Linked DNA regions of Kluyveromyces lactis. The protein of the gene in region 1 interacts with the protein of each later gene in a pairwise test. Links are inferred from orthologs where the notes say so. Each region holds a gene or a part of one and is shown on either strand. Other genes may lie near its edges.

What was found.
Region 2: the proteins of PEX13 (region 1) and KLLA0_D06171g interact in a two-hybrid assay, tested with the Saccharomyces cerevisiae proteins (2 studies listed by BioGRID). The link is inferred for Kluyveromyces lactis from reciprocal best matches to the Saccharomyces cerevisiae genes PEX13 and AMD1.

The regions. Positions count from the first base shown.
Region 1 is NC_006041.1:1,756,164-1,759,261, reverse strand, and holds PEX13 (peroxin PEX13), read left to right. Parts: upstream 1-1,353; coding exon 1,354-2,580; downstream 2,581-3,098. Other genes in the region: MMR1 (Mmr1p), read left to right, coding at 1-835; KLLA0_E19713g (uncharacterized protein), read right to left, coding at 2,900-3,098. UniProt on the Saccharomyces cerevisiae protein: Component of the PEX13-PEX14 docking complex, a translocon channel that specifically mediates the import of peroxisomal cargo proteins bound to PEX5 or PEX21 receptors.
Region 2 is NC_006040.1:528,439-532,552, reverse strand, and holds KLLA0_D06171g (uncharacterized protein), read left to right. Parts: upstream 1-1,234; coding exon 1,235-3,649; downstream 3,650-4,114. Other genes in the region: KLLA0_D06215g (uncharacterized protein), read right to left, coding at 1-119; KLLA0_D06193g (uncharacterized protein), read left to right, coding at 527-907; palmitoyltransferase PFA5, read right to left, coding at 3,799-4,114. UniProt on the Saccharomyces cerevisiae protein: AMP deaminase plays a critical role in energy metabolism.

The DNA.
Region 1 (3,098 bases):
ATATACTTCAAGTTCACCGACTGTAACACTTGATCTTGAACTTCAAATGCTAGCTGATGAGGAGGTACAAAATGGATTAAATGATAACAATGGGGCTGTCAATAACAAAAGAAATAGTATACTATCAAATTTCATGAATGACGAACAGCTGTGGCTGAATAATAAAGATGATTTCCAATATCCTGACGATCATCATTTCGACAAAGAAAGACTAGATCTGACAATCAAGAAACTTCAACTGAAGATTGATGAGTTGAAACTGGATAACGATAAATTGCATTTGGATAACGAGAATTTAAAAGATATCAACAATAGTTTAACGAGAGCAAATGAGTCCTTGACCTTCCAAAGCAGCTCGTTATTACAGCATATACAACAATTACCAAGAATATCAAATACAGACTTCATAATTCACAATTCAGACAGGTCACGGGAGAATATATCGAATAAACCACCATTCAAATCAGATGCACTAGTAAAGATCGCTGTTGAAGGAAAGATAAAAGAGCTAGAGAAAGAATTAGCTAAATGCAGAAGAATTCAGAAGGCTTTGGAATCCAGACTGAGCCCAAGGAAAAACAGGGTAAAGTACTTAACAGTTGAACAACTCGACGCGCTGGCTGAATCCAAATCGGAGAGTAAGCCAGATGAATCTAGTTTACATATCAGCGATCCCGACAACACTACCGCTCATAACAGTACTACGACATTAGATTGTGACGAAGGCGAGGTATTATCGGGGAGTATTAATCCAACGAGACTACAGCATGGTTTCAATTTACGCATACAATTAACTTCTTTAGAAGAAAGCAAACACAAGAAGGACTTTTCATAAGATAATTACAAATTTTTTTCAAGCATAATACGGACAACATTTTCGATTCAATATTTACAACTATCCAATGCTGCTGATAAAGCTTTGTAGTAGATACATTCAACTCACATTGCAGCTGCTTCATTTCGAACTTTTATACATTCTTTCAATAATAACAAGGATACATATATACATAATATGCGTGTCATTCGGAACCAATTTAAATACAAAATATTTAAAAGAAGGAAATAAGGATTTTCATTCAAGTATCCAACGGTTCTTCGTGGAAAAGATATCGTCTATTGCTGATGAAAAGACGATATCTACTATTGTCTTTAAGTCACGACGCAGGAAATAGTAACTTGTTACCCGGCCAAAGCATATTTCAAAGATTGACGATGATTCTAAAAGTAACATTGAATCATGTCGTGGAGCTTAAATACAGGTAACGACAGTGATGAATACACATCGATTGTAGCGGTTTTGGCTTCTATTAAGTGCTGTGATCGAAGTTCATATTTATTAGAGCATCAGTAGTCATGTCACAATCGGCAGGTGTTTCCAGACCGAAGCCCTGGGAGCAGAAAAATGGAGTTGAGAGTTTAGGAACTGATGCCAGTTTTACTGAGAATAGCAGTGCGTTGCAACCATCTGGTAATCAGCCTGACTTACCATCCAAACCGAACGGTTTAAATGAGGGTATGGATTCTTTGAACGGGGGAAACCCTCTTCGAAATGGTATGTCTGGATATGGTTCGGCGTATGGTGGAGGTTTAGGTACAGGATATGGAATGGGTTCCATGGGTGGTGGATATGGATCCATGTACGGAGGTGGTTATGGCTCTATGTATGGTGGTGGTTTAGGGTCGATGTACGGCGGTGGTTTAGGGTCGATGTATGGGGGAGGGTTCGGATCAATGTATGGGATGAACGGTATGAACGGTATGAATGGAGGACCCTCGGGGATTGCAGAGTCAACACAGGCAACTTTCCAGTTAATAGAAGGGCTTATAGGAGCCGTTGCTGGTTTCGCCCAGATGTTAGAAGCTACATATATGGCTACCCATAACTCTTTTTTCACTATGATAACCGTTGCGGAACAGTTTCAATATATGAAGGAGCTTTTGGGATCATTCTTTGGTATATTTGCCTTGATAAAATTCGTAAAAAAGATCTTGTACAGAGTTACAGGTGGTAAGATGGGAGTAGCGCCTTCCAAAAAGCGCTTAGGGATAGAGGGCGGAAAGAGCCAGGGCTCAGATCTTTCAAAACAATTTATCGAAGAATTCAGGGACTCAGATCTGACGAAGAAAAAGGGTAGAAGAATTTCATGGAAACCATTGATTGTGTTTTTAGCAGCTGTGTTCGGCTTCCCGTACCTTTTGAACAAATTTATTCAGAAATTACAACAGCACCAAAAAGCCAAAATAGCTGGCGGCGCTATGGCACAACAAATCTTAGATCCTAATAACCTAGAATTTGCAAGAGCGATCTATGATTTCGTTCCTGAGAATCCAAGAATTGAATGTAACTTAAAGAAAGGAGATCTAATGGCAATCATTTCCAAGAAAGATCCACTAGGAAATAACTCTGAATGGTGGAAAGTCAGAACAAAACAAGGAAATATTGGGTACGTTCCATACAACTATCTTGAGTTGATTAAGAAAAGGAAAAATGGCGTACCTGTTGAATCTGAGAAATCGAATACTTCTGAAGAACTGGCGGATTCAACCTCGGTAGACCATCTATTACAGAATCAACAGTGATTACATGGTGATGGACAAGAATTGAATATGGCGGGTCACAAATGCTAAGTTAAAGATGTGATAGCTTCAGAAAGTTTCAGACTAAGTATTAAGAAGAATTACGTTGTATTTTTCTCTTGTTTCACGTTATATATGTATTTGTGGTTACTACACATTTATTATTCCATTGCTCGAACCCCAGATACGGCATTTGGAATGCTAGAATATTAGCACAAGGGCGTTTATTGTCACCCTGCTGCTTAAAGGATCAGGTAATTTGGTTTATTGGGAAAAGAGGACATCGACATTCCGGACTTTATCATCATCTCATTCCTTATTTTTATTCGTTTAGTTTGTCAGCAGCATTTTCCAGTTTTTCTTTACCCTTGGCAGCGGCTTCCTTACCCTTGGCAGCAGCCTCTCTACCTTTGGCTTGGGCGTGTTCCTTACCTTTCTCTGCAAGATCGCTGGCCTTGTTTGAAGCCGTGTCAGCAGCTTCCTTGGCATCCTGCCCTGTCATATTGAATATCCCTTTCACT
Region 2 (4,114 bases), on another chromosome or scaffold:
AGAGATTCGACTAGACAATGTTCACCATGGACCACAATATCCTCAGGAAGTTTTCTTACAGTCCAATCGTATATTGGTTTACCAACAGGCTGTTCAAATTGATTTAGTAGAACAGACATTGACAACTGACTATCTTCGACCCTTGTAAATGTCTTTCTAAGGTTAAAATAACTGTGTCTTCCTGTTTGTTGGTGTTAGAGTAGTATGACTAAATCCTTCGAGAATACTCTTCCTTTTAATTGAGAAGCAAAATGAATTTCCATTAGAGATTTGCGCAAGGCTCTGACATAACCTGATGATTGACCCGGTTTAATTGGTTTATATTCCTGATCAAGAGCAATAAATTACATGGACAAAGATGCCAATCCTCTCAGTGGAATAAAGTGCTTGTCATTGAGCAACCTCATCAAAGCATAAAGGAAATCGTTAATTAACCTAAAGGAACTGAGAAAAAAAGACACCAGCTAGTAAGTAACATTGTATAATATGTATAAAAACGTAGTGCATACAACCAATACGGACCAAAATGATATCCGACCCACGCTTTCAGTATGATAATGTTCTCTTTGTGGATGATGATGATACTTCGGAAACAGTCATTTTCAATATACGATCTTGGTACCTGACTCTTGTAGGTATACTTGTGAAATATGGTAGCCAATCGATCAGTGATGCGACTACGATGCTCGACAATTCATGGCTAATCAAGGGTTTCTGCTGTGAAACATACAAGCAGGTGTGTTTGTACAGTCATGAATACGAGTATTATTGGGCCATGCTTGTTTTGCATGGGGATTTGTTCTGGCGCAGGGGAATTAGTGGCGACTTGCCAACAGGATATGATCAGTGGGAGCAAGAATACATACGCGCTAACGGCCTTGCGGAATCAATATTTGAATTCAGTTAAGGCGTTTTCTCTATATAGATTGAGGGTAATACCCTCCTGCACATTTAGAGAATTGACATCGGAAGCTTGCTATCCGCATCGTTAGGGTACCTTCTTGTTCTTTGTTCTATTACAGAAGTTGAGAGAAGTTGAAGAAAGAAAAAATAAACTAGAGACTTAAGACTAAAAGATTAAAGAATCTCGTTTGAGTATTCTGGACATTATAAAAGATAGAGGGACAGGAGAAGAAGTAAGGAAGTAAGGTACTGGCATTTATAGAAAAATAGCTACCTCAATTAGATCCCTCATTCAGCAAAAAATTGCCCAACGATTTTGTGCTCGTCTATAATGAATGGTTTTGATATAGATAATAGTATGAAACAGTCCCAATTGGAAATGCCATATCCAAATGAGGGCGAAGGCGGGCAGCACCAAAATACCCATGAGTTTGCAACATCTTACGATGCTGAAGAGGATCCCAACGATGTTGACAACCATTCGATTAGTACCCATTTTTCATACCATGATGGGAAATCGTTATTGGAGCAAGGGATCAAAAAGTTAGCACTAGATCACTTGCACAGCAACAATGCTAGCGTCGACTCGAATCTCGGTATGAAATCACAATTTCCTTCGTATTTTGGTAATTCGCCATTGGACGCAGCTGCTTCAGTCGCTGCAGCCGGAATACCTCGCCATGAACGAAGACTTTCACTATCTGCACAACAAGCGGAACCAGAGGTATTGATATCTAGTCCAATGTCCCAAAAGCCATCATCATCATCATCTGCTCAGATCTTAGATGTAGAACGGATCAAATCAGCTCAATATAAGATGGGCCTAATTGCTGATGATGGTCAGCATTCCTACGATTCACCCTCTCTTGAATTGGTAGAGTTGTATTCAAGTGTCAGCGATTGCAGGGAACTGAGAGAGAAGTACCAAACCTTGTCATTACAAAAACACCATCAAAACCCGAAGAACAGACCTGATTGGAAAATTTATCCACCACCGCCAAAACCTTCCTATAATGCAGCAAATAAAACTGTTGTGAAGGTCAGTAATTTGCCAGACTCAAAATCTTTTGACATTAATGAATGCGAAATTCCTGGCTTAGATGAAGATGTGGACTTCAGACTCAATAGCGATGAAGTTTATGTTTTATATGATACTAAAACTGAGGACAAAAAACAGGCTGGAAACGTCTTTCCAACACTACGTGAATATTATATTGACATGGAAAAGATCATTTCTGTCTCCTCTGATGGTCCAGCAAAATCATTTGCTTTCAGAAGATTGCAATACCTTGAAGCTCGTTGGAATTTGTATTCGCTTCTAAACGAATATCATGAAACTGCTGTATCAAAAAAGAACCCTCATAGAGATTTCTACAATGTCAGAAAAGTAGATACTCACGTTCACCATTCGGCATGTATGAATCAAAAGCATTTGCTTCGTTTCATAAAGCATAAATTGCGCCATTCGAAAGATGAAAAGGTCATTTTTAGAGATGAAAAAATCTTGACATTAGAAGAGGTCTTCCAATCGTTGAAACTGTCAGGGTATGACCTTTCTATCGATACTTTGGATATGCATGCACACAAGGATACATTTCATAGGTTTGACAAATTCAATTTGAAATATAATCCTATTGGGGAATCTCGTTTACGTGAGATATTCCTAAAAACCGACAATTATATCGATGGTAAGTATCTCGCTGAAATAACAACGGAAGTCATTTCAGATTTGGAAAATTCAAAATATCAGAACTGCGAGTACAGAATCTCTATCTACGGAAGATCTCCTGACGAGTGGGATAAATTGGCTGCTTGGGTGGTTGATAACAAGCTTATCTCTCACAATGTGAGATGGTTGATCCAAATCCCAAGATTATATGATGTTTATAAGAAAACGGGAATTGTCGAGAACTTTTTTGATATCTGTAAAAGCATTTTTTTGCCATTATTTGAGGTAACACAAAATCCACAATCCCACCCTAAGCTACACATTTTCCTACAACGCGTTGTAGGTTTTGATAGTGTTGATGATGAATCTAAAGTGGATAGGCGCTTCCAGAAAAAATATCCAAAACCAACTCTTTGGGATTCAACTCAAAATCCACCATATTCGTACCAACTATACTACTTGTACGCGAACATTGCATCTTTGAACTGGTGGAGAGCAAAGCGTGGTTTCAATACGTTAGTCTTAAGACCACATTGTGGTGAGGCAGGAGATCCTGAACATTTAATTTCAGCTTACTTGTTAGCTCAAGGAATTAATCATGGTATACTCTTGAGAAAGATTCCATTCGTACAATATTTATTCTATTTGGATCAAATTGGGATTGCTATGTCCCCATTATCAAATAACGCGTTGTTCTTGACGTACGATAAGAACCCATTCCAATACTATTTCAAAAGAGGTCTCAATGTTTCGCTTTCAACTGATGATCCATTGCAATTTTCTTACACTAGAGAACCTTTAATTGAAGAGTATTCTGTTGCTGCACAAATATACAAATTGTCCAACGTTGATATGTGTGAACTTGCCAAAAACTCTGTTATGCAGAGTGGTTGGGAAGCTCAAATTAAAAGGCACTGGATCGGTAAACACTTTGAAAAAGAAGGTATCGAAGGGAATGATCTTGAAAAAACCAATGTTCCAGATATAAGAGTCAATTATAGATATGAAACTTTGAAAACTGAACTTGAACTTGTCAAACATTTTTCCAGTTTCGCAAGTCTTTCAGCCTCGAAATGATTGTATATACCCTTTAAATAGTACTAAGTTCTTTTTCGTGTAGGCATATTTAATCTTTGAAATCGAGTATTCATCAGTGTTAGCATTATGGAAATACATAAAAGTTAGACGTATGCAGGAATGGATTGATAAGCATTGATTCTATATGTCTATACTACCAATCTTGTTACATACTCTTTTCGTTCTATCTTATCGATCATATACTTCTGAAATTTCTCGCTCATCACTTCGTTACAGTCTCCAATTAGATCATAGTAATTAGCTGAAGATTTACCATAACTTTGTTTGTGTGTTAAAATGGAAGGTATAAACCAGGAAAGATAATTGGGGCCTAAAAACTCTTTTAAGTTAGTTAAAATATTGCCCTTATTCCAGAAATCTTGGTTTTCTCCCGGGCAGAACTGGATCACATACCTGTAGCCATCACAAGGGTTATAAATGCAGAAAAATTTTCTTGAAGCCTTA